Mytilus edulis: one gene and its partners. The protein of the gene in region 3 purifies or fractionates together with the protein of the main gene of each other region. This does not show direct contact. Links are inferred from orthologs where the notes say so. Each region holds a gene or a part of one and is shown on either strand. Other genes may lie near its edges. The genes, in order: F-box only protein 7-like, proteasome activator complex subunit 3-like, proteasome subunit beta type-3 and proteasome activator complex subunit 4-like.

The links.
Region 1: the proteins of proteasome subunit beta type-3 (region 3) and F-box only protein 7-like purify together in Homo sapiens (affinity purification with mass spectrometry; 4 studies listed by BioGRID and IntAct, counting the BioPlex papers as one, with this or other methods). This does not show direct contact. The link is inferred for Mytilus edulis from reciprocal best matches to the Homo sapiens genes PSMB3 and FBXO7.
Region 2: the proteins of proteasome subunit beta type-3 (region 3) and proteasome activator complex subunit 3-like purify together in Homo sapiens (affinity purification with mass spectrometry; 4 studies listed by BioGRID and IntAct, with this or other methods). This does not show direct contact. The link is inferred for Mytilus edulis from reciprocal best matches to the Homo sapiens genes PSMB3 and PSME3.
Region 4: the proteins of proteasome subunit beta type-3 (region 3) and proteasome activator complex subunit 4-like purify together in Homo sapiens (affinity purification with mass spectrometry; 3 studies listed by BioGRID and IntAct, counting the BioPlex papers as one, with this or other methods). This does not show direct contact. The link is inferred for Mytilus edulis from reciprocal best matches to the Homo sapiens genes PSMB3 and PSME4.

The regions. Positions count from the first base shown.
Region 1 is NC_092344.1:4,233,482-4,240,461, reverse strand, and holds the start of F-box only protein 7-like, read left to right. Parts: upstream 1-3,963; 5' UTR 3,964-4,007; coding exon 4,008-4,126; intron 4,127-6,980. Other genes in the region: putative leucine-rich repeat-containing protein DDB_G0290503, read right to left, coding at 334-2,415. UniProt on the Homo sapiens protein: Substrate recognition component of a SCF (SKP1-CUL1-F-box protein) E3 ubiquitin-protein ligase complex which mediates the ubiquitination and subsequent proteasomal degradation of target proteins and plays a role in several biological processes such as cell cycle, cell proliferation, or maintenance of chromosome stability.
Region 2 is NC_092345.1:106,000,979-106,007,813, forward strand, and holds the start of proteasome activator complex subunit 3-like, read left to right. Parts: upstream 1-3,825; 5' UTR 3,826-3,919; coding exon 3,920-3,973; intron 3,974-6,835. Other genes in the region: natural resistance-associated macrophage protein 2-like, read right to left, coding at 2,323-2,502. UniProt on the Homo sapiens protein: Subunit of the 11S REG-gamma (also called PA28-gamma) proteasome regulator, a doughnut-shaped homoheptamer which associates with the proteasome. 11S REG-gamma activates the trypsin-like catalytic subunit of the proteasome but inhibits the chymotrypsin-like and postglutamyl-preferring (PGPH) subunits.
Region 3 is NC_092345.1:69,632,446-69,639,528, forward strand, and holds the start of proteasome subunit beta type-3, read left to right. Parts: upstream 1-4,074; 5' UTR 4,075-4,165; coding exon 4,166-4,168; intron 4,169-5,714; coding exon 5,715-5,899; intron 5,900-7,083. UniProt on the Homo sapiens protein: Non-catalytic component of the 20S core proteasome complex involved in the proteolytic degradation of most intracellular proteins. This complex plays numerous essential roles within the cell by associating with different regulatory particles.
Region 4 is NC_092346.1:24,122,476-24,130,090, forward strand, and holds the start of proteasome activator complex subunit 4-like, read left to right. Parts: upstream 1-4,612; 5' UTR 4,613-4,842; coding exon 4,843-5,036; intron 5,037-7,615. Other genes in the region: acylphosphatase-2-like, read right to left, coding at 1,738-1,754, 4,531-4,597. UniProt on the Homo sapiens protein: Associated component of the proteasome that specifically recognizes acetylated histones and promotes ATP- and ubiquitin-independent degradation of core histones during spermatogenesis and DNA damage response.

The DNA of each region.
Region 1 (6,980 bases), on a different chromosome or scaffold from region 3:
TATCATTTCCAATATCTAACGGATTAATAAAATTGTCAAGGTCTTTTCTCCATAAAATTCCTGTTCCCCCATAACCACGAGGTAAATTGGTTGGATTTATTGGATCTTTATCATCGACCGCTTTTCCAATTCCACAAATATTTTGATGAAGTTCATTAAGTAAATTCAGTTGAAAATTAAACAGCCAATGTTCTTGAATTAAAAATATATCTGTTGATTTAAAAAGTTCATCAAAAAACATACCGCATGTTTGTATATTTTTACAATTAAAAGTTAAAATATTAAGTTCTTTCTTTTTATCATCCTCTCTACTTTCATGATTTAATTGTTCCATTATGTCGGTTGGACACTGAGGCTTGTTTTCCATAAAAAATTATTTCCATGTAAAGTTTTGGCAATGTTATTACTTTGGAAATATAAATTTTGTCCCAAATAGTTCCTAGGTTGATTACTTTGTGAATCACAATTTGTCCTTACTTGGTTGTCTGACGCTAATACATCAATAAGATTCGAATGAGTAACAGTTTGAGTATTGTCCGGAGACGTATCTTGAAACCATTGATTTTCATAATCACATCTACTTTCTGAATCACTATGACTCTCATTTACAGTTCCATAATTATTTATATAATATGAGTTGTGATGATCATAATAATATGGATATTGATGATAATAATTTTGGTAATCCCAATTATGTTGAGAATATTGATTTTCTGAGTTATCTTTCACATTTTGTTGATAAACATGATTTTGTGTATCCTTTAATTTATCATTGCTTTCAGTAATATTGTCAGATAATTTATCCAATTCATTTTCAATCTTGTCCACAATAAATTTTGTGACTTTATTCCTTACTTGTACCAGTAAATCTTCACTATTATCCCTATGACTATTTAAATTTCCAGATTCTGATTTTTCATTACGCAGGGAAGAGTTATTTTGATTTTCTTCCAATATAATAATTTTCCTATTCATTGTTTTTATGGTTTGTTCTAACTCTAAATTTCGGGCTTCAAGTTGGTGAAGATAATCAAGAAGCTTGGTTTTCTCTTTAAGTTTTTCATTCACTGACAACTCTTTTAATTTCAGACTTTCTTCTTTTTTCTTTAATTTAAGTTCTAATTGACGCAATTCTTTCTGTTTCAACACACTATTTTCATTATCCTTATCTTGATTTTCTTTAGATTTATCAGTAATGTTTTTGTCTACACAGACTAAAGTTGGACGAGGTGAATTAACCTTCTTTACTGAAGTTTCAATATTCAAATGCAAATTTTCAGAATTTTGACTATGTGTCGCTTCACATCCTAGACATATTTTATTTTCTTTTCCCATACATTTTATGTGATAAGATTGATCACAGAATTCACAAATTTGTTCATCAGTATTTAACAACTCTAAACATAAGGCACAAGACCTTGGAAATTCCTCCAATAAAAGAGATTGAGCAAAAGTTACTTTGGGTATTACTTGATCTTTATCTATATGTTTTACTGAAGTATCGGATTCTATTTCATTTCCTTCTAAAAAAGATTCTTCATTAATCATGTTGACCAAAGGTAAGTTGATACTATCACATACTTGAGTATGAGTGGGAGAATTCACAGATAATACTTGCTTATCATCTATGGAGTCTATATCACAAATTGAACATATATAATGGTTTGTATCAGAATTATTCTCTAAAATGTTAATCATTTCACTTTTTAGTTTTTCGCAATTATAGTGTATCCAATGTTCACCCCTATTACACCAGACACTTCTAGATAAGCAATTTCTAGTACATTTAGGGCATACTTTAGGGTCCTTAATGTCATTACTACCAGCGGCAGCATTTGTAACAGCTTTAGATTGACTAATCTTTGTATTATCCACTACAACTGACGGATTATGACCGTTATTAATTGATGATAATAAAAAATCACATTGCTCTTTAATTTTGGTGTTGAGATGTTTATAGTCTAGATCATTACTCATATGCGATGCAATTTTAGAAAGTTCATCTATGAATGACATAAATTGTTTCCCATTCACTTCAATACGACATGTTGTATTAAAAATGTTCACCCTATACAACTGCTTTGACGGATTACTAACGTCGGCAAATGAAATTGACCTCTCTGATAATTTCTTTGATAAATCGAACCTTTCATGTACTGTTAGTTTTAAACTTTGGTTTGAACTAAAATACTGGTCGAAGCATGTATTGAATTGCAAAAATGCAGCCGATGAAAACTGTATGATTAAATTCCCCCTTTTCAAAGTTGCTTGAATATCAATGTCTCTATTTGCAGCTTCCTTAATTTTATTCAAAGTTCTTTTCTCATTTAATACATAATTCTTGGTAGTTTGAATACTCTTGCTGGGTGTATATATTTTAGTTGGAACTAATTCTCTACTTGACCTTCTCGACATTTTGAATTTACTGTTGGTTGTATCTACTCAAAAACAGTGATTTGGAAAAAATGTTTAAATAAAACAATTGTCTTTCTTAAAACTGTACACTATATATTAAAAGTGTTCTATGTTTAAAAGGTAAAAGGACTGTTAATTAAAAACTTCTTTAAAATTTCTTCATAAAACCAAGATGGCGACTATGAGTCGGCTATTTCTTTGTCTCGTGTATCTCATTTTCTTTCGAGAAATGGCAGTAAATGTATTTTCACTTTGCTAAAACATCATTCAGGGTTCTCATTGGCAATACAGGAAATAAAAGTTCACATTAAAACACTATCAAGTCTGTAAAAATCTGTAAAATCTGTAAAACTGGCTCTCAATAAATTACACAACCACCACCTTCAACCACCACACTTCAACCGATTGCCGCCATTTTAAACCATAAACCGAAACCACAAACCACCCTTGGACATGGTTTGAATAGTTTCTGGAACCAGTTTGGGTTTGAGAATAACAAACGGCAAACCAGTTTAGGTTCGAAACTAGTTTCAAACTGGTTCTCATTAACAAATGGAAAGTTTAACAAACTAAAACTGGTTTTGCACTAACAAATACTCCTTAAATCTTGTGGCCTTATGGCACAACTCTTCTCATTGGTACATATTACGCCCTATGTGTATCTTCCTCCATGTTTTTTCCTCCATGTACTTTAATTTTGTTTTTGCTGTTACGATTGAGGTTGGACAACCATTATAACATCACTGCATAATATACTAATCCCCCTTTTAAGAAACTATGCCTACATTTTGAAAGAACCGTAATATTTGTAGTATAATTTCAATATATTTTTTTAGTTGGCAGATTTATTGTATACATATATCATTTGATCATGCCATACAGAGAAATCTTACTGACATTTTGATATAAGATTATATAAGTGTGTATGTGCAAATAAACATTGTCAATTTTCTACAACTTTTTGGAATTTTGGATCCTCAATGCTCTTCAACTTTGTACTTGTTTGGCTTTATAAATATTTGGTATGAGCGACACTGATGAGTCTTATGTAGTAAGATTTCCGTTGCTATTTTTTTCTAAATAGGTGCAATTTGGGTACCCTTACGTTATATATCCAGCGACTTTTTTTCTATTTTTTTTTGTTTATTTATCACTAAAATAAGAATTAAGGAGATCAGGTATGAACACAGACACTAAGTCAAGTAAATAATTTGAGAATGAATACATATACATGTATAATGTAATTTTATTATTCTTTTATTCACAATATATATGTGGGTTTTAGCTTGATTCTGACCAATGCTTATATTCCAAATATATATGTATATGCCTCTATTATTGTTGTTGTTACCAATTATGTAAATCAATTGTATCTGATTTTATGCCTTTTATGGGCCCTGTAATTTGGGAAATAACAGTATTCTATTCTATTCTATTCTATCTTCTATGATGATCAAAATGTAAGTTTGCGACCAAAGGGGGATAATTCAATTAAAAATTGCAACCGTTTGTAACACAAGGGAAGTAATCCCATGCTAAACTTAGCTCTCCAGTTTGAAACAACGAAAGGTTCGAATTCACAACCAACAACAATGATGAAAATTAGAATTCGAAACCGCAAAATCACGAAGTCTATAGACATAGACAATGAGTGTAAACTAAATGATCTACGTCAGTTTATTTTTGGATTGTTTGACAACACTTTTCCAAGGTTAATTATTTATGTCATTCCTTAAATTGTTCCGTTTTGAACACAGATTTCTTACTTAAAGTTAAAGGGTTTTCCTACCTGCCTACTCTTCTTCTTTAAGTTTTCCAGATTTCCATCTGAATAAAGATGATTAATAACTGGTGCATACGTGGCCAAGAAAAGAAAATAATTTTAGCGACAAGAAAGTTAAAATTGATAGAAAAAAATGAAACATTATTTACATAATATTTTATCATCTATCATGTGTCTATTATGTTAGTCCAAATAATTATGACGTCTTGAAAGGCTATTATAAGGCGTCAAAGAAAAAAATTATAATAGCCTTTCAAGACGTCATAATTATTTGGACTACTATTATGTTAGCTGCGGAACCGTAGCTCTTAGGTCCTTATGTTATTTTTTGACTATTTGCGGTCCGCAAATAGTCAAAAATATTTGCGGTCCGCAAATAGTCAAAAAATAACATAAGGACCTAAGAGCTACAGTTCCGCAGCTACTATTATGTTTAACAGCCAGTATTACGTTTAATTATTGTATTATGAGATTACTTTTCCTTGTGTTTTAGAACATATTATTTATCTTATAATTTGTTTTTTAAAACTCTTTTCGTGCAATATATATTAAGCTCGCAAAATGAATTATTTGTGCATCATTGTCCTGAAAATATTGACACAAATTGTGAAATACAAAGAACTGAAATCAAACAAGAGGAAAAGAAAATTGAAATGTGAATGTTTTCATCTTTTTATTTGTTTATTGCCTCATTAAACGTACATTTTACTATATAATGACTAAAAATAATTTAAAAAAAATTAATTATTTGGACCCCAAGGTAGAACCACGTCCTCGTCGTGGGATCTGGAAACATGCTTAAATAATAAAGATGGCAAAGCGTGACTGAGAGTTCTACAAATAAAGCATCGAATTGACATAACAAGAGTACACTTATAGCATAGTATTAAGCAAATGAATCAAAATATATTCCATTATGCCCGCTCCATATATACATACTTGTTTAAGTACCACCCCTGACTGATTATAGTACCTGTTGCAGGCATACCGAGAAGCTCTCTTTTGGACCATCTCTATCTTTGAGATAGATTCTGAAGTGTGGGGGTCCCAAACCGAGCAAGAGTATTTCGAGTTTGGGACAGACAAGTGCTTGGTATGCCTGGCTCTTGATGTTTTGATTAGATGTTTTCAGGTTTGTTCGAAGGAAGCTGAGTGTTTTGTTGGCTTTCGAGATATTGTCATCTATGTGTTTGTCCCATTTAAGGTTTGATTGTAATGTGATGCTTAAGTATTTAGCAGATGTAACAGTTTCTAAAGTATGGTTGTGAAGAGTGTAATTCTGTTGTAGAGGTTGACGTTTAGTTGTGACAGAGAGAACATTACACTTGTCTGGGTGGAAGGCCATCAGCCAGTCTCCTTCCCATTTTGCAGCTGCATCAGGGTCAGCTTGCAGTTTAAGGCAGTCAATCTGGGATTTAACTGGCATATATATGATACTGTCATCAGCAAATAATCTTAGTGTGCTACTGTATGTGTAAGGTAGTCTGGGAGGTCGTTAATATAAGCCAAGAATAAGACTGGACCTAAGTCAGTACCTTGCGGAACCCCAGAGGTGACTGGTACTGTGCTTGATGATCTTCCATCCAGAACAACTGTTTGAGTTCGATCGGAGAGAAATGCAGAGATCCAGTTTAAAGTGTTTCCATTAATGCCAAAATAGTGTAATTTGTAAGTGACGATGCAGAACTTTATCAAAGGCCTTCGCAAAGTCCATTATTACAAGGTTTGTTTGTGTATTTGAATTTGAATTTTTTTTGGATTGAAGTTCTTGTATGAAGGAGAGAAGTTGGGTCTCGCAAGATCGAGAGCGCCGAAAACCATGTTGGACATGTTGGAGGTCGTACAAGATGTTATTTGCTTCGAGATGTTTCATAATATGTGATGTTACTATGTGTTCCATTAACTTGCAGCAAATACAAGTTAATGAGATAGGTCTATAATTGACTGGTTTATGCTTATCCCCCTTTTTATATGCTGGTGCGACTCTAGTGTGTTTCCAGTCATTAAGTTTAATATCAGTGTTGTATTACATTTAACGACTGCTATACTGTCATGATTATTTGTGTTATAACTTATATATATATTAAACTGGTGCACTAAGACTATGTATATTGTTAAAAGTAATTTTTGTCCTGTAACCTGAGTCAAGTCTGAGACTGAGAGAATGATTCTTATTAAAAAATCACATTGTCTCCTTCGGAACTCAAACCCAAGATCTCTAGATTTCTTGATATTGATACAGTCATGACAGTACTTAAACTTTGACACATGGTGATTAGTCCACATGTCCCCCTCGCTCCATTATATTGTCTGAATAGTGTTTCAAGTCAGTGCTCTAACCAACCATGCTAAAGAGGTTTAGAACTGGCCAAGGATCCACTAGCTATGCAAGCAAAGCAATTCCATCACAATATTGTGTGGTAGTGTTGTTAACATTTAATTTACAGGTTCTGTATACATGGTATATATGATAATCTAAAGTTTGATATTGATAAAAAGATAAAAGATATATACATATTGTAACGGTCCAGCGCCGTGGGAAAAATCATTGACTATTATTCAGACGTTTTATATATATATATATATGTATAGATAGGTTTCAATATGACATAATTATCGCTATTTAGACCAATTTACAAATGCAGTCACTGAGACTACTAATCATTGGGTAATAATGTGTTGCAGAAACAGAGATCATCAGCAATGAGATTGTTTGCACCTGCAAAGTGGAAAGGGATTAATATAAATTGAAAAACTTGTTTCTAAATCCACTATAAATAAA
Region 2 (6,835 bases), about 36 Mb from region 3:
AATGTCATTAGGACCTAGATGAGGATGATCCAACAAGATAAATAAAGTAAAAGCAGGATAAAAAACATCCTTAATTTGATATAAGTGTGTACATGTCTTATATCCTACTTAATTAACATTGATTTCAATTATTTTATTACATATATTTTTTAAAATATGTTATCATTATACTTGAATTTCAGGACATAACACTTTTTTTATTAATGTATGCTGATGATATGATTTTGATGTCAGAATCAATCCAAGGCTTACAAAATATGTTAAATACTTTATCTGGTTATACTGAGAAATGGGGTCTTTCAGTTAACACCAAAAAAACAAAGATAGTAGTTTTTCGTAAAGGTGGGAAAATTAGTCTTACTGAGATATGGATTTATAATGGTAAACCATTAGATATTGTAGATCATTTTTGTTATCTGGGTGTGTTATTTCATTATAATTGTAAATTTTATATTACTCAAAACCACTGTGCTGAACAAGGCAGGAAAGCTGAGTTTAGTATGAGGAAAAAGGCATTATCCTTATACCTGAACACTGTTACTTCTATAAGTTCATTTGACACTTATATATGTATGTAGTATTTTAATGTATGGTTGTGAAGTTTGGGGTGTTCATAGAGCACCAAATGTAGAAAAAGTTCATTTGGACTATTGTAAAACATTACTAGGTGTCAAGAGGTCCACTTCTAATGTAATGGTATATTATGAATTAGGAAGATTTCCATTGTTATATGAGCGAAATTTTAGGATGCTCAAATTATGGACTAAAATTCACGGTAGTGAAAATTGTATTATAAAGTCTTGTTACAAAGAACTAGTAGCAAATAGCAATAAATGTAAAAACTGGGCAACTTGTATTTAAACAATTTTATATGATCTTGGTATGAATTATTATTGGGACAACCAATGGGTACTTTGCTTGGATAGTTCATTTTTACAATTAACAAACAACGAATATATGATCAAGCTAAACAAGAGTTGCATTTCACGCTTGAAACATCACCAAAGTGTAGATTATATAAGTATATTGTGTCAAATGTAGAATTATAATTTTATTTACAAAAATGTATTCCTGTAATAGCTCGTAAATGGATAACGAGAATTCGCCTATCCTCACATAATCTATGCATTGAAACTGGTCGTTTTTATGGAATAAGTAGAAATAGTAGAATGTGTATTATGTGTGATAAAAATGTAGTAGAGGATGAATTTCATTTTATTTTACAATGTACAAATTATAATGATATACGTAAAAAGTTTATCAAGAAATATTATTGGACTAGACCATCAACTTATAAATTAATACAATTGTTTTCTGTTGAAAACACTAAGGAACTCTGTAATTTAGGAAAGTACTTACTCTATGCATTTAAGTGCAGGAATAATATTTAAGACCTATGTTTATTATATGTAGTCTGAAACTCACAAACTGTATAATATGTAACTGATATTTCTGACGTTTGTTATTTATGTGTATGTTAATGCTATACAACTTGTAAACTGTATATTTATGCATATTATACCGATAAACTGTATTGTTTAAGGTAAATAAAGAATAGAATCCTGAATATGCATCAGACACAAAGAAATTAAAATCAATCAAATGTTTTCAAAGAACAAATAACACAATTGCTGTAGTTTGAAAACAAAATAAAGAAATCAATCTTAAAAATTTGAGCATATAGACTTTTGAAATCAATGGTAAAACTCTTCAAATCAGTTTACTTTATACATAGAACTTCTATTGGAAAATATTCAATAAGTCTGGACAAATTTTGTGGTGGAACATTTATTCAGATAAGTGTTTTCTGCACACTTGCCTGAAGAACATCAGGTATTGGGATTTTCCCTTTACCTGAAGAACATCAGGTATTTGGAATATCTGTTACCTGAGGAACATCAGGTATTGGGATTTCCCCTTTACCTGAGGAACATCAGGTATTTGGATTATCTCTCACCCAAGGAACATCTGGTATTGGGATTTTCTCTTACCTGAGGAACATCAGGTATTGGAATGTTCTCTTACCTGAGGAACTGAGGAACATCAGGCATTATAATTTTCTCTTACCTGAGGAACATCAGGTATTGGGATTTTCTATTACCTGAGGAACATCAGGTATTGGAATTTTCTGCACTCTTACCTGAGGAACATAAGGTATTGGATTTTTCTCTTACCTGAGGAGAACATCAGGTATTTGGATTTGCTGTACACTTACCTGGGGAACATCAGTTATTAGAATTTTCTCTTACCTGAGGAACATCAGGTATTGGGATTTACTGTACACTTACCTGGGGAACATCAGTTATTAGAATTTTCTCTTACCTGAGGAACATCAGGTATTTGGATTTTCTGGTCAAAGTATGTTGATGCCACAGAACTAAAGTGTTGTTTCTCCTCTTCTCCTTCCTGTTGAACATCTCCATTAGCAGAATCATTCTTCTCCATTACATCTCCATTCCCAGGATCAGTCTTCTCAATCACTTCTGATGAATCTGCCATCATCTATTACATCAGATCTAAATTAGAAGAAAAAAATGTCATTCCCTACTGTGTTCAGTGATTAAAGTTAAAATTTAGGCATAGTAGCAAACAGCTTAAGTTTTGTAGCCAATATATATAGTTCTATACAAAAAAAAGTTGAAATTGAAGTAGCCCACACTGAATTTTAGGGGCCATTGGCGAGTGGGCCCTGCTAATTTTAAACCCTTGACTATTACATCTGCATCCAAGATAACTTTAAAACTAGATATATGGATGATGCCCCATTCTGCTCTGCCTTCTGCACCCAGTATTGTTCCTCAAACTTTATATTTGACAAACAGTGCATTTAAAGTATGCCTGCAACCTCTTATTTTAGAGGTTTTCATAAACATCCAAGCAATGTGTTCTCACTGGAGCTGAAAAGCTAACACATAAACAAGTTTATCTTTCATACATGTGGTCATTATAACAATAAAAAGTATTAAATTAAAAATGGATAACAATTGCAAAAAAAGGCTTCAATAAAAATAAAATTTAATTACCTTTTTAAAGAGTAATTAATTAAAACTTAGAAATGTAATTTACTACAATTAATTTCGAACTGTGATAAAATACAAGTACTTTAGAAATGTATTTAATTATGAAATTAAACGAATACTTTTGCAACTTAATCATTTACAATTACAATGGCTTTTGAAAGTCAATTAGTTACAATTACAATTTTAATTAATTACAATTACTTTTGCAACTCAATTAATTACAGTTTTGAATACGAATTATTTTTGCAATGTAAATAATTACTTTAGAAATAAAGTCGATAATTAATTACAATTTCAATTAATTCAGAAATTATTTTCTGTATACAAAACTGATTATTATTATTAATGTCAACCTGTCAGAATGTAGTGTGTAGTGATGTCCGGTAATAGGTGAACATTGCATAAAACAAAATCATATGAAAGTCAAAATAATGAAATTAAAAATTCACATGTAGGGGCCTATCTAAAACTATTAATACATCAATGACAAATACACTCCGTTTAAACCTGATGAACTAGCGTGAAGTGTTAAGTACTAATGTCCTTATGACCAAAAATTTTTACTATACAAATCCTTGTTATGACTGACAGTCATGATACGACACTCAAAATAAAAATAAAAATACATGATAATTTGTAATTTGTCTTTTGATACCATTAAAACATAACAATACCTGAATAGCTGAATTTAAATCACTATATTACATGTTGTCGAGATTTTTACTAGGTAGCAGCGCCAGTTGAATGCAGGATCTACCTTTGTACATGCAGACGGGCACCTGATCGGGTGATATAATAATTACCTCCCCTTAATTAACTCTTTCAAGAGAAGGCCGAAAAAGTCCTTAACTCATCTGAGACCGCATTGGGCGCTCAGAAAACATATTTCTCAGAACAAAATGCCAACTGATGGTAAAAAATCTGCAAAACAAAGGGAAGAATTGGACAAAAAGGTTGTATTAATTTGTGAACTTTCAATATTTTATAACATTTTGTCAAATTAGTCGACAGTTTGATCAAATTATTAAAATTTCTGTCTACAAACTGAACAGCTGAAGCTTATAAATTTTCATCATTTTTAGAGAAAGATGAGTTTTGCTACTAAGTGACCCTTACCACTGCTACAACACTGAAAATTCCCAAGATCCCACTCAATTTGACTATGTTTTTATTTTTCAGAACATCAAATTCAGTGATCTGGAAGGATTCTTCTCTATGTCTATGCATATGCCCTGGCTAGCCCCCCCCCAAAAAAAAAAAATCAATGGGCCAATTTTAGAATTATCAGACCATGTTGTTGAATAAGTACACCATAGGTTTATAGCAAAAAACTTGAAAATGTATATTATAGCAAAGTCTAAAGAGGTACTTGCCCCTAACTTGGTATGAGTTTATATAGGATCTGCTTACCCTTCCAAAGCACCTGAGATCACCCCCAGTTTTTGTTAAGTTCGTGTTGCTTAGTCTTTAGTTTTCTATGTTGTGTTTTGTGTACTATTATTTGTCTGTTTTTTTAGCCATGGCGTTGTCAGTTTATTTTCTATCTACGAGTTTGACTCTCTGGTACAAATGTATCTTTCGCCCCTCTTTTAAGAATGACAATCATGAAATTTAAAATCACTCAGAAATTATAAATTTTAGTTGCCTACAGAAGAAGTTATTAGATAATTCATAAAAAAAGGTTAAATATTGTAAATAACATTTTGTTCTTTTAATATGGCAAGAGTCATAAAATTCATTATTATTTTATGGTTTTGACTAAAATCTTTACATTTAGACATATTTTGCATGACTGTTGGACCAAATACCGACTGTAAACATACCTTTTTATATGTAGCCTTATAGGACACACAAAACTACCAGCCAACATTGTAACTTAGACTGGACCTGTCTGTCCCTTTTCTGGATAACCAAATTGCGTACATGACATGAAAGCAGGTCAATATCAACTCTAGCTTGTGTGAATTTATGTAGGGTTTCCCCTGGGTCAATTATTTTTTTCGCCACCTCTTTTGCCAAAACAATATATTTTTTGCCACTTTATTATCTTTTTTCGCCAAGTAAGACAAATATATTTTTTTTCCAGCCCCCCTAAATAAGAGTTTGACCCATTGCTGTCTATGATTATTCTCTCAAACTTGTTTTAGAGTCTACATTGTAATGAATAAATACTAAACATTTACCTTTTAAAAAAAAGAACTTTATAAGGAAAATGATTATATTTTGAACAACTTTAAAAGAAGGGGGCCCACTTACTTTAAAAAATAAAGAAGATATATGACCTGCAATATAAAAAGTTCTTGGATACCTGAAAGATGTACAGTTTTTTGGGAAAGTTTCTTCAAAATTGAAAACATTTTCTCTTTTGTACCAAGAAGTGTTTTTTACAATTTTGTCACTTGAAATTGATTCTTCATGTAAGGTGTAGTCATTAAATTGAAGGGTTACTCTCATTCGAGGGGTTGTTCTCAAACTTTTGAATAGATTTCTTCATAACGACTGTTTTCTTTTCTAGACCATCATAAAAATGTAAAACTATGCTTGAAACATGTGTCACTGATACGACTTTAAAGTACCCACTCAAATCAATTATCGATATCAAAGTTAAATGATTAAGTTTAAATCAGAGACCTTTATTGCTTTTGTACATTTTTCGTCATAACATTTTTTTTTCTTTTCTGGACTATCATTAAAAGAAGGGTAGTATCATCAAAATTTTGCTTCAAACACGTGCATCGCAAAGTGGCAAATAATCCTTTATGTAACATGTGACAGGCGCCATTTCACCATACCATTTTATCATATAATTCAATCAACACCTTTATTAATTAGTCCAGTGTTCTCCCCAGGCCGTTTTAGCGTCGCGGTACCGCGACGCTATATTTTTTCACCGTGATGGTATAATAATTCCCGCGACGCTATAATTATTTTAAAGATGCTATTTTACTTGTCCTCAATTTTGAACTTTCATCTATTATCGATTATGATCATAAAAATTATATCACCTTTAATTGTAATCCCTTTAAGTCGGACACTAAAGGCAATTAAGAGATTGAATAGCCAGGTGTTAATTGCCCTCAGGGTGATAACTGTTTGGATGCGAATATCCCAAGCTGACACTTGTGACATGACTAAATTAATACCACGTGTCAATCACCAATTTCGACATGGAAAAATGCAGTCACAAAAACAATTCGAAATCTATGTTTTGTATTACGAAATTTCAAAGATTAAAACGATTTTTTATTTTTTAAAAGGTCGTTTATTTGTGCAACTCTCCAAAAAATACTTTCTTTCTCTTCCGGTAATACGAGAGCGAGAATTTTGGTTTTGAGCTAAAATAAGTTTTATACTTCTTTAAAAAGTGGTCATAATTGGCTTAAGTTTATGTTTAATTCATTTAATGCATTAAAAGCGTCTTATTCATTCACAATCTCTTGTCAAACAATGTTTATTCTCGGACTCATTTTCGTAAATTTTTCTACGGCCGCCATTGCACATTTTTGTGTAAATTACGGATCGGAACCGGACCAGATATGTCAAAAATCCGCATTTTCACGATAATGACAACAGACGGACGGTAGACAGAAAAAATATACCAATAGAGAAAACTACGCATTAATAGACTATTTGTTAGATAACTTTGTTAAAAATACGTATCATTTTGATGTAAAGATAAGAAATAACAGGGACTAATTCATTCAGTGCCATGAAACAATGAATTTCATAAACATGATAAAAAAAAAAGTATTTAAATTGATATTTTTTTGCTACTTTTGCTACTAGTACTTTATCTTTACTTAATATAATATAAA
Region 3 (7,083 bases):
TCTTACTTAAATTTTTCCCATCAACATTTTATGAACCTCTTACACTATGCTCAGAACGAATCAACCAAAACTCGCAGACATGGATCGAATTTAGGCAGTTAGTCACTTACCCTACTATAGATTAATGCTCCTAATTATAACTTGGACAATTACATTTTTTTGGTTCCGTTTAGAACTACGCTTGGTATAAGAGCAGTGCCAACAAATTTCATCTGAAGAGCATTTGGTGCGTTTATTCACACATTATATCCCAGCCTGGGTCACAGGCACTTGTCTCAGGATTTTTTTCATATGTACCCTAATATAACACATATTAAGGTATATACTATATAGGAAATTTTTTTTCTGAGACAAGTGCCTGTGGTTTGGGTCTAGTCAACAAAGCCATAGTGACATGTAGTCTAGAACTTTACGTTATTTGTGGAATGAAGTGTGAATGCAGTTTTCTTCTGGTAGTATATGTATCGTTGGGTTGGTGCCTTATAAAGTTTCGAACGTTGACATATACCACAAATCTACATGGGCATTCATTCACCTGTAAGAGTATGTACAATTTTGAATTAAAACATTAAGAATTTATACATTTTTTCATAATTTAAAAAAAAAAACTGCATGTACATGTAAATGTACTCTCAAATCGTATTTTCTTGTTAATTCGACCTGTTGATACTGTTTATAATGCTTTTTTGTCATTTTTTATTTATACGGATCTTGTCTGTACACCAGCTTTGATTATTTGTAATATCTTCACTTATTCTTACAACATTTGTATAAACTTCAAGATTATAAAAAAAACCGGTTTTTTTCTAAAGTGAACATTGATTGGTTAAATATTTCTCAGTCATGTCCTGTTTTTGAATTTGTTTGTTAGCTTTTTGGTCATGAATGTTTGTCTCTAATATTTAATTAACTGTGCATTTGTATTCAGATATCGCAGATCAAATTTATTCGTTCATTGTTTAATCATACGTTTTTTGATTGAGTTAAGTCTGCCAATTGATATTTTATCGTATGTTTTTCTTTGTTGTGATGTTATGCTATTGTTTCAGAAAAAGGGAGAAGGTTTGGATCCATTAAAACGTTTAATCCCGCTGCAAATGTTTGCACCTGTCCTAAGTCAGGAATCTGATGTACAGTAGTTGTCGTTTGTTTATGTAATATATAAGTGTTTCTCGTTTCTCGTTTTGTTTATATAGATTAGACCGTTGGTTTTCCCGTTTGAATGGTTTTACACTAGTAATTTTGGGGCCCTTTATAGCTTGTTGTTCGGTGTGAGCTAAGGCTCCGTGTTGAAGGCCGTACTTTAACCTATAATGGTTTACTTTTTAAATTGTTATTTGTATGGAGAGTTGTCTCATTGGCACTCACACCACATCTTCCTATATCTATGTAGTATTAATTACACAGTCACGCAGTAGTTTTTCTAATATAACAGAGTGGAATTTGATTTTGTGCACTAAAAAATGTGTTAGGATTTATTGATGGGGCCGAATTTTGTGTTGGCTGTTGGTCGGTCGTAGTTCAGGGATGATTATGTCCATTTTGTATGGGTTTTCAAATGACCTTATTTTGTACATAACAGAAGTTAGCTTAATTACGAACAAAAAAATCCATGGACGCAATTTCAATTCCAAATCCAACAAGCAGCCAAGGACTACCAACCTATTATAGAGTACTATAATAAATAGGGCCAATATATTTAATATACCATATAAAATATATATATATGTACGGAATGATTGTAAAGTTTTAAACATTTTCGTCTAGCCAGGGATTTTCTATACTAGGCTAAGTACTTAGTACAGAAAGTCTCTGTTCTAGCAGGTATATAATCTCACTGAACTAATTTCCAAAGTTTATCGGACAATGTTTGACTTTTGTAGTTTGGGTTATCTCTCAAATATAACAAGCAGTAGTTCAATTTTATATGATGTATGGAACGAGTGAAAGGTGTTTATGTCTGTCATACTGGTTTCGTATGAACTTTGCCTCATTTCCAGGCTAAATGGTGAATAATATAATCAAAAGTTTATAATTTGTCAGTATCAGATAGTAAAAGATATAGGTCAACTATATTTGGTGTATTGAATAAGTGTAAGGTGTACATGTCTGTCTGGTACGGTTCATTGACATATGACCTTGACCTCATATTCATGGTTCATTGGTCAATGTTTAGATTTTGTGGTGTGATCTGCTGTTTCAAATGTATCACCCCTTCGTTAATATTTTACAGATTCTATCACGAGTTACTCAACTGTTAGTTGAACTTTATGGAATATCCGTTTCACAAATAATAGCAGATATGTTCCTTATGTTGCACAACTACAAGCCCGTTCCCTTTTCACGAATGTGACCTACCAAATTAGACTTATTACCAGGTTTGTACTAACATGAGCTACACTACGGGTGCCAAATATGGAGCAGGATCTGCTTACCCTTCCAGACAACCTGAGATCACCCTCACTTCTTGATGGGATTCGTGCTGCTTAGTCTTTATTTTTCTATGTTGTGTTTTGTGTATATTATTGTTTGTCTGTATGTCTTTTTAAGCAAAGCGTTTTAATTTTTTTTATGAGTTTGAATGTTCCTTTGGTATCTTTCGCCCCTCTTTTTTAGCCGGCAAATAGGGCCACTACATTTTGTGTACGGAATGTTTGTATGATGATACAAGTATGCTAATCTGATGTACAGTAGTTGTAGTTTGTTAATGTAATTTATACGTGTTTTTTTATATAGATTAGACCGTTGGTTTTCCCGTTTGAATGGTTTTACACTAGTTATTTTGGTGCCCTTTATAGCTTGTTGTTCGGTAAGAGCCAAGGCTCCGTGTTGAAGGCCGAACATTGACCTATAATGGTTTACTTTTATAAATTGTTATTTGGATGGAGAGATGTCTCATTGGCACTCACACCACATCTTCCTATATCTATCTACTGTCTGACATGTTTCATCTGACCGAGACCTCATTTTTATAGAACAAAGATATTAATGTCAAGTTTGGGAGACAGATTTGTAAAAGCAAATTGCTTGTTTCTGAATCCTTAATATTATTTCATTGTATAATATGTTTAATGTTGATTTATCTGAATAAATATTGTTTAAACTAATGTCAAGTTTATGTGATACTTATAGTAAAATCTTTATATTACATGAACCTTATGATAAGTAAAACAGGCGAGATATTTTTGAAGTATGTGCACTGTTGTTATATATGATACCCAATATATACATTCCTTTTTTCCAATGATTCGTCGGGCGTTGATTGGATCCAGTCAATTTTAAAAGGAGTTCCAACGCATGCAAAGTCATATAAAAAGGGCACAGGGTTCCAACGCTTTGTCCCACTACAAAAAGGATGAATAATTAACCATTAATTTAATTGTCAAACAAACAAAAAAAGGGGGTGTCCAACGTTTTTTTAAAAACATTTATAACAAATTCATAACGTAAAATCGAATACCGACATTTCATTCAGTGATTGATGATCGAAACTTTGGAAGCTTACCGTCCGCCGATCGTGAAAACCTGTAAAGTAGACAGGCCGAATGATGGAGAACGTTAATAATGAATGGGATTGTAAAAAGATTTTCTTTTTTTCATATTTCCATACGTTTCCATCTGTAAAGGATAATGATATTATTTTTGACTCATTGTGAGATATTCATAATCCTCTAGTTTTAGCAACGTAGTGCCATTAAAAATTTTGCTCAACCCTACTTTCTTTTCATAATATTATAACATCTATTTTAGAAGTTATTTTGGAAAATCTTGTAAGATCCTTGTTGGTCTGTGTAGAATCTAACATTTTTCAATTCAATTTAAAAAAGGGTTTAAAATTTTTAATAGATTTTTAAAATTTTGATAAAATTTTAAATATCAAAATCCAAATTTTAAGATAATGTTAAATGTTTTCCAAATTTTCACCAAATAATTGAAATTTAAATATTCTTAATATCGTTTTTAAATGTGCAAACTTTAAAAGTAATAAACTTAAGAGAAACACTTCATATGACAGTAAGAGTTATTAAAAATGGGTACGAGATTGAAAAGGTACGAGTCGACATAGATCCAACATTTTTTCTATTACCTCCCCTACCATAATTCTTCAGAGTAAAATTTTTAGAGATTTGTGAATTTGCAGTTTTCACCGGGCAACATTTTCACAATGGTAAAACGATTGTTTTGAATTCCACAAACATCGAATATGATTTTCATTGCATCTTTCGTTTTAGTTTATTCAATCCGTGAACTAACATTCAGAAAATGAAAAGTTTTGCAGCAAGGAAAAAAAAAACCACGTACAATAAAAAAAAAAGGGGGAGGGGTGTTACACTTGCAGACACTTCCAAATAAATCAATACTAATCACAACATTTATTATATGAGTGGAGCTTCTCGAACCTCTTTCCAAACTGAAGTTCATTTTGGCACCATCTGCCATGTCTGCAGGAATGAAAACAAAAATAAATAGCTAAAACCAAAAAGTTGAATATTTTCAGCGACTTAAAATGCATTTAAAATTTAATTATCTAGTTCCTGTCATGCATTACAACTTTTTGTTAAGGTACACAGGTTTGTGTGTGTATATATAGTAACCAAAAGGTTATTTCTCAACAGTAAGATTATTTGATAATATTTAAAAGAGGGATGAAAGATACCAGAGGGATAGTCACTCATAGATTGAAAATAAACTGACAACGCCATGACTTAAAATAAAAAGACAAACAGAAAAATAATAGCACAGAAGACATAACACAGAAAACTAAAGACTAAGCAACAAGAACCCCATCAAAAACTGGGGGTGATCTCAGGTGTTCCAGAAGGGTAATTAATATATATATAAGCAGATCCTGCCCCACGTGTGGCACCAGTCATGTTATTAGGGCTTCTTTAGTTTAGTAGGGCTTCTTTTGCCAAGCTGTCTTAGTGTCTAGGTACCTTAGTTAAGTGTAGAGGGTCATCTAGAGACAAGTAGCACAAATTTAAAATATGTTCAGATTGGGTTATACAATGTATATACATGTTCAATGTATATATGACCATGTATATACATGTACGGTTGTAGGTGAAGCACAGAGTTCCAAACTCCTAATTAGCAGAGAAATTAGTTTCTTTTATTAAATGCCTTGCCCTGTATGCAACTTTAATATTAATTGATTATTTTACAGTCTTCACCAAAAACTTTTTCAACTAAATATATAGCTACTACATTATTTACTAGTCCGAAGACCAATATTCTGACATTTTTCTTATTGGGCCAAACAAAGTTTTGCGAAAACTTACTACTCCTAATGAAATTTTACTAGTCTGGGGCATCTGACTAGTGGCTAAACATGCAGACTGATTTGAGCAAAAAATTATTTAGTTACGCAAAATTTATCAAAATGAATAAAAATGCAATCATTTGTTTTGGCAAAAAGTTGAAAGAACTTTCTGCATAACCTTGTGCAACAGGGGTTCATCATATAAAAAAAGAACAAAGAATTATTAAAATATATATTAATATTAAATAAAGTGCATACCAATAATATATTGTATATTTCTCGCAAGTATTTATTTTTTGAAGAATAAGAACACGATATAGATATATAAAAGTGATACCTGTATGCCATTTTTTGTTTCAGAAATTTAAAAAAAATTTGTTGTGTAAACACAACAAGTTTTGCATGAATGTAGTTTGCTTATACATGTATTTCTTTTACTTTTTCTTTTTAGAGTATTATGGAATATAATGGTGCGGCTATTGTAGCCATGAAAGGTAGAGATTGTGTAGCTATTGCTGCTGACAGAAGATTTGGTGTACAAGCACAGACAGTGTCAACTAATTTCCAGAAGATATTTGAAATGGGTGACAGACTGTACATAGGCTTACCTGGTCTGGCCACAGATGTACAAACAGTGTAAGTTAGGGAAGTTGTAGTATGAACACAATGTACATTAAGTTAGGAGAGTGGATGAACAACACTGTGTTTGTTTAGCATGTTTATAAAAATGAGATGAGACGAGTATTCTTTTATATTAAAGAAGAGATTGTATAAACAATATATGTGTAGGTGATCACAGGATAGAACAAAGTCTATGAGAGCTACTTTTGCAGCCTGTTTTTAGTGCTATACATCGTAACATGTAACTGTAAAGAAATTTTTTTTTGTTTAAAACATCATTAAAGAGATGTAGATAATTTTTTAAGGGAAAAGACATTGGGTTCTAGATATAAGAAGATGTGGTATGAGTGCCAATGAGACAACTCTCCATCCAAGTTTGCATATTTATAGACAATATTTTGTGAGTCCTATCATCTGTTTGCCAGACCTAATTTGAAAAAAAAAAATTATAGATGGGTCACAATGAACGTTCAGAGTGAGATTAGGGTATGCCTTAAAGCCTGGCACAGACAATGACTAACTATTTATAGAACAACCATATTCTGGCTTTTCGGAATCCTCTGGTTTTATCTATTTGAATGCCTTAAAAAAAATTGCCCATTGACCCCCATTTTTGGGATACGATTGCTTTCAAGCAATCTGTAGACTTATAACGGTGGCTCAGAGCAATTTCCCTCACGTCAACCGTTTTATTCTAAACATTAAGGAACATCTCAGATTCTTATGATTGTCTTGCTTTAAAAGGTTAAAACAAACAAAAGGATTGAACTGAATCAACTTTCCTATAATGTTCTTTTCATAATCTTCATGTTTGATAATTCCCTTGACTTCGATGCATGTTTTTAACAACACGGAAAATCAGAATTAAGCAGTATTTATATTTAGTGTAGTTATAAATTTAGAAACACGTCAGAGGGAATTCCCAGTTTTGATAAAATGCGAGAGTTCTCTGAATACCGATAAATCTATTTCTGTCATATAAGAACTGAAGTGGAGTTTTTCTTATATGTTACCGTTATGAAACTGATATTTGAGATTGTACTTCCATAAAGAAATTGAGAACCATCTAGGTCGTTTAATAAGCATTTAATATATCTTGCCCCAGGGTTTGATTTGGAAATTATGCGCATGCGTATAGTTTTTTTCTTGACTTTAAGGGGTTTTAGATTGAATGGTTGCTCTGGATTCCCCACTCAATT
Region 4 (7,615 bases), on a different chromosome or scaffold from region 3:
ACATACAGTTATGAGAGTAAATGCATTCTTTTACTCAGGAATACTAATCATTGTGTCTTACAAGACATTTAAAGGTCCCAGTGAATTAACTAGACTGATAACAATAGCCCTTTGGCCAGGTGAGCTAAAAATGGAATATTGTATCAAATTTAACCAACAACTTTGATTTATAGATTATTTGAAAATAATTATTAAATTAATTAATAATTTTGATATTATAATTATACACATTCTACAAAACAAAACATAAGTTAAAAAAATATAACTATGTTTTGTATCAGAATTGAACAAACTAACAGTTAAAATTAAATATTATAATCGGTAAAATCATTATATACATTGAGCAATGTTGAGGAGCTGAATTCAAAGTGTCATAGTTTCATATTTAAAATCTATATTAAGGCAAATCTTGTGGATCTTTCATATAAATACTGAGTACTTCAACTATTTTATTTTATTACTTCAAATATCATACGTGTGAATAAGCATGATATGAGCAGGAGTAGAAATTCAAATATTACCAATACAAAACTACAGGGTCCAGTTTCATCCTAAATATAAAAAAGAAAATTTGGTATTTTTCCCAATGAGACAATTCTCCACACTAGAGAGCGGAAATAAAATCACTAATAAAATATATGTTATTTATATTAAAACGCATCAAATAATAATTTAAAAATAATAAACATGATAGAAATTTGTGTTAAAATCATTGTGTTATCACAAGTTGTGGTGGATCTGTTAACAAAGAAAATTTACTGATCCAACAAAAAAAATGGAAAATGGTGTTAGCAAAAAATTCATACCTCAATTGTGTTTTGGTGATGGTGATGTGTTTGCAGATCTTACTTTACTCAACATTTCTTGCTGTTTACAATTATCTCTATCAATAATGAACTTGGCCCAGTAGTTTCAGTGGAAAATGTTAGTGAAAATTTACAAATTTTATAAAAATTGTTAACAATTGACTATAAAGGTTATATTGACTTATTTTTAGGTCTTACTTTGCTGTACATTATTGCTGTTTACAGTTTATCTCAATCTATAATAATATTCAAGATAATAACAAAGAACAGCAAAATTTCCTAAAAATTACCAATTCAGGAGCAGCAACCTATCAACCGATAATCCAATTCATCTGAAAATTCCAGGGCAGATAAATTTTGACCTGATAAACAATTTCACCTCCTGACAGATTTGCTCTAAATGCTTTGGTTTTTGAGTTATAAGCCAAAAACTGCATTTTACCCCTATGTTATATTTTTAGCCATGGTGGCCATCTTGGTTGATTGGCCAAGTCACTGGACATATTTTTTAAACTAGATACCACAATAATGATTGTGGCCAAGTTTGGTTTAATTTGGCCCAGTAGTTTCAGAGGAGAAGATTTTTCTAAAAGATTACTAAGATTTACGAAAAATGGTTAAAAATGGACTATAAAGGGCAATAACTCCTAAAGGGGTCAACTGACCATTTTGGTCATGTTGACTTATTTGTAAATCTTACTTTGCTGAACATTTTTGCTGTTACAGTTTATCTCTATCTATAATAATATTCAGATCATCACCAAAAGCATCAAAATTCTTACAATTACCAATTCAGTGGCAGCAAACTAACAACGGGTTGTCTGATTCATTTGAAAATTTCAGGGCAGATAGATCTTAACCTGATAAACAATAAAACATTACTATGCTTCTACTTAATATTTTCTGCTTAACATACAACATCTTAACTTACCTGTCGAAAAAATACACCTGAAATTATAAAAGAAACATTTGTAATTACATTCAAATCAAAGATATACAGGAAAAATTTAAAGGTGTGTGCTTGCAAATGTAACAACCATCCATTAGAGACAAAATGACAAAAATGTAAACTATATAGCTCAAATTTCCTTAAACAATTACAAAAATTCATTCAAACAAAATGCAACAATATACCTGTCAATTTTTCTTCATAATAAAAAAAAATGTAAATTGCCAAATATTAATTAGAACTTGCAAATTGGTAATTAAATTCTTAACTACTGGGAATCAATAGATCACAGGAAAATGTGTGAGTAACACTTAACAGTCTTCAAGATAAACTTTTGAATCCATAAGCCCAAAGCCAATATTACGAAAATTTTAGTTGGCTTCTTTTGGCCACAGGTGCTTGAGGACAGGATCCTGTATGAGCCACATATAGTCCCTCCCCCCTTTTTTTTTAATCATAAATCTCAGATTTTTCTATCTATATCACTTATTTGTACTTATTTGTACCATATATACTAATATACCATATTTATACTCTTAATATGCATGTTTACTATCAACGTGAATCTCGCTCTATAGTCGAGATTCACGTTGATAGTAAACATGCATATTTAGAGTATAAATATGGTATATTAGTATTTATCATATACTTAGCATTAATATGATAGCTTTTGCATATGTGTAACGAACGGAAGTACACAAGCCATAATTTCCCACCCAGGCTGATAACCCATATCAGCCCGGTCTGATAACCCATATCAGGGGCGTCTCGTGCAAAAACCCATAACAGTGCTTCTCGTGCAAGTTACTTCCGGTGTTTCCGGTATCGGTTGTTTATTTTTTCCATTGTGACGTCAGATATTGATGACGACGTCAAAATTTACGGGAACAGTTTTGTGGGGATAGTTTAGTACTTACTAACAAATACCATTGGCAATTATGAATCATTTTATAGTACAACAAACATGGAGTAATAATGATCATGAAACTCTTCCAACTACTCAATGTTTCAAAATGCCTCTATAGGAAATGTTACCATAAAATGTACATATATGTATATGGAGGTAGTGATGCTGTTGGTTGCATTGACAGTTGTAGTATATTGGATTTATAACTTAACTTCTTTATAAAGTTTTTGACTGTTTTAGTTGTTGCATTTGTGTTTTTTTTTTGCCTTACATAAAACTATTGTCGGAAGTATATGATAAAGCGATTAATACATGGCCTTTTCCATATCAGCCTGGGTATCATCCCTCGACCCATATCAGCGCCTCGACTCCGTCTCGGGCTGATATGGGGGTCTCTGGATGATACCCAGGCTGATATGGAAAAGGCCATGTATTAATCTCTATATATATGGTACAAATAAGTACAAATAAGGGATATGTATAGAAAAATCTGAGATTTATGATTAAAAAAAAAAAATTTAAAAAAGGGGGAGGGACTATTTGGGGCTCATACAGGATCCTGTCCTCAAGCACCTGTGCTTTTGGCTTGTAGAGAAGAATTTTACAAGTCCCCAAGCAATTCTGCAAGCCATGGCTATAGCACTTGTTGTGGTTAAGTGTGAAGACTGCACTACATGTGTGCATATGACCTGTGCACAACTACTTTGGTTGATCTCTTTGCTCTTTACAATTTTGGCCAAATCTTACCCATTTGCTTCATAACTTGACAGAACTGGATTTAGATGTATTAATTTCTCACATAAATTAAAATATATTATATACATGATCATATTACATGAACTATAAACCATGGTCTTATTTACAGTCTTATTGTATTGTAAATCAATGTGTATTTAAATTCTATATTATCTATGCTAATCAATGTTCTTTATCCTTATACATGTATTCATATTTTGAGTAGCAAATGATTTTGAATGGTTAATATTTTAAAGATGTTGATTGTATTATCTGGTTCTGTCCTGGCCTTTAAACTATTTTAATAGTGTTAAACAGTGTTGTTTTCTAATATGTCTCTAAATTAATGTCTAATCTTAAGTACTTGTATGGGAGGTCTCATTGGGGGTTTCCGATCCCGGATCCCGCTTACTGTTTTGTCAGATTCCTGTATCCCGCTTACACTATGTACGTAAGCAATTCTCATTTTTTTGTCATTTCCCGGGTCCCGCTAGACCTCATTTCTCGTTTTCCCGACACAATAATTTGACTTTCATGTGTCACACTTACAAAAAATCGGCAATCCCGCGTCAAGCTTAGACCCAATGAGACCCACTGTATGTATTGTAATGTGATAAGGCACTTTATTCTTATTCTCTATATGCCCCTTGTGGTCTTTTAACTGGAAATAAAATATATCTTATTCTTATATTTATTTTTTGAAATCAAACTAAGGGAGCTACCATTTGATTTTTATGGGGGGGCTAGGATGAAATTTGAAAAAAATAGGCTGGACAGGAGTTTCGAGTAAAAAAAAAAGGCAGGATGTGACACTTGCAAAAAAGAATCAGAACGACAATTTAGGTAAAAAAAAGACAGGATAAACTAAAAAAAAAAAAAGAAGTCAGGACCGATTAGAGTGAAAAATAAAAAGGCAGGACAGAGATTACAGCTAAAACAATGCAGGACAAAATTTTTCATCCTAGCCCCCCCTCCCCCCCCCCCATAAAAATCAAATGGTAGTTCCCTAATCTGACTTTTGAACCCTGATTTAGATCTACATGTACTAGTACCAGAAAGACTAGAAAACTTGGCCCCAAAATAATGTATCCCATAAAAATCATTTATCATAATTATCTATAGGCAATTCATACCTTGGACACTTCCGTGTATTTCGTAATCGACCGATGAGAATCTTCCAGAATCTGACATTGCTGTCATGTGATATTTCAGAGAAGGATGACTTGGTTATTTTGAGCTCTATAGTTTGTGTTTGGCAAAGTGAAAATGAAAGTGAAGGGGATTGTCGTTCCTGTTCACAGGTGATCTCTTTCTTAAACAATTTTTGATTGGATCAATCATTAGGGATTATCCAATTGTATTTCGTCTTTCTTAAATAACCCAAAATGGATCCAACTGTAGCAAGTCATCCTGAATAGTATCAAATTTTCAGCTTTTCTCCAAGTATGGACGAAAGAGAAAAGATTTTGGGGTTTCTCCCACAAAAGGAGAAAATTTATAACAAGTATTTACCATATGCAGACAATCTTGATGTTGAATCAAATGCTGTGTTTGCGGAAATCAAGGCCAACCTTGGAAAATCTGTTGCCTTGAGAGATATTAAAACTGGTGCTAACCATTGGAGTGGACAATTAACTAGGTAATATATGACTTGATTATGATCTATTTTTTTTTTCAACAAAGAAATCACAATTAGCATTACCTAACGATTAAATGCAAAAAAAGATCTCATTCGAATTCAGAGCTGTCATTGTCAAATCCTACACCATCTTGCCATAATTAAAATAAATAAGCTTTATTTGGAGTTGGCAAAATAGAGACAACCGAATCTATATATACAGTTTCGTTCCTTTTAGTATATTACATATAATACAAAACTTTTTCAAGTTTTTGCAATCCATTAAATGACCATGTATTTGATCTGATGAAACTTCATTTATGGCACTTTCATTATTGGCACTGGCTACGGTTACATGGAAATGTAACAATAATAAAAATATTATTATTACATTGGGGACTAAATGCCGGAATGCATGGTTGGATAAGGAACCGATTAATTACGAATGTAACAATAATTATTGAGGCTACGGTTACATTGCGTTATTGTTACATGAAAAACAGAAATGTTCGATGGGACTAGTAATATGTACTAAATAATAAAAGTTGAAGACATTATCTTATATTTACAATACATACAAGTATAACATACAATTTTTTTTTATAGTACGTCCTCCATGGATTCTGAAAACTGAGTTTTACTATGCGTAGTGTTGTGCGGGTTTTTTTTCTACATTGGCTAGAGGTATAGGGGAGGGTTGAGATCTCATAAACATGTTTAACCCCGCCGCAATTTTGCGCCTTTCTCAAGTCAGGAGCCTTTGCATGGCCTTTGTTAGTCTTGTATGACGTCCATTTTCACTGAACTAGTATACATATTTGTTTAGGGGCCAGCTGAAGGCCGCCTCCGACGGGTGCAGGAGTTTCTTGCTACATTGAAGACCCATTGGTGACCTTCGGCTGTTGTCTTCTCTATGTTCGGGTTGTTGTCGCTTTGACACATTCCCCATTTCCATTCTCAATTTTATACATGTATACAGAAGTTCACAGTGTTAGTTCACAGTTAGCAAACTTTGCTTTTGATGTATCAGTTTTTGGTAAGTGCGTTTGTATAGCTGTATGAAATTTGTGTCTTGATATTGTTTCAGTTTCGTTTCAAACGCATCCCATGCAAGTTTTAAATTCTTCACCCAAACCAAATTGGGAATCTCTTCATCTTTTGTTCAAAGTATAATGACAGTAATACGAGTAGATGTGCAGTTACATGTAAATACTTAAAAGTGAACAGTTTTCTCAGCCCGAGTTATCAACAACAAACCATTGAACTCATATTTTTCGCCTTTGGCACTACTAATTTGAAGTAGTATATTTATTATTTATTATTATAACAAGTATTATTTAGTAGACATGAATGAATTAAGCAACAAAACTATATAGAAGATTTAAGTTTAATAAATCTAGCGTACATTGCTGTTTTTCATGTAACAATAACGCAATGTAACCGTAGCCTCCATAATTATTGTTACATTCGTAATTAATCGGTTCCTTACCCAACTTTGCATTCCGGCAATTAGTTTCCAATGGAACAATAATATTTTTATTATTGTTACATTTCCATGTAACCGTAGCCAGTGCCTTCATTATTTTTCAAATCAGTATTATGTTGTGCACATTTGTATATAATATCCTTATATTATGAGTTTCCATGCTATTTAGAATGCATTTTGTAGTCGCAATTTCCATTGAAAAAACATGCATAGTATGAATTCATATGTCATACTAAAATATATGATCTGACGATACAGTAGTGTTCCAGCTAGGATTTCAAAGGGCAGGGTGCCAATCCTGAAAAGGGCATTTAACGCGGGGTATGATAATATGAAAAGGGCATGTTTTAATAAAGATATCAATCAAACATTGTGTTTATTTGTTGAAATCACTGGTTATACAAGAACTACATAATTAGCCCATTTAGAACTCTATCTTTCTACTTGCTGAAAAACTTGTCAAGCAGCACAGTGTCACTCAAGTTTTTAAATCATTGTTTAGCACAGTTAAGCTTTATACATGTTATATGCAGCATGTATTGAAAGGTGTCCTGCTTCATTCTGTTTCTATGGTCTGACACACTTTACCAGTTTCACCTTTCTACCTCTACTGTGCTTAATGGTAATACAGCACAAAACAGCTGTGCTCAGTAAATGCACAATGTTAGGATATAGCAACAGTGAAAATTTGTATTAAAAATAAAGAAAACAGAAAAAGATGACCAAGGCACCCTACCAACACTGCTACTAAGACCCTCTTTACCTTTTCCCATAACTCAAAATACCTAAACATATATATTCTTAAGGAAGAAGTATGTAGACATGTTTTAGAATGTGTTAAAGGGAAACTTCGCAAAAAAATCAAAAATTGATATTATGTTCATGCTGTATAAAAATGCTCAAATTCATAGATATTAAAGTTTTATTCCGCTAGATAAGAGATCACCATCGATTTTAAATTTAGAGTATCAATTCTCTGCGTTCGGCCATTTTGTCTTCTTTCCCGATTAATAACAACGATATGTCTATAAACCACAAAGGAACAAAACTACAGTAACCGATGTAGTCGTAATTGCGTGTCGATATCTTGTCAATCGTACGGTTGTTTTATCCG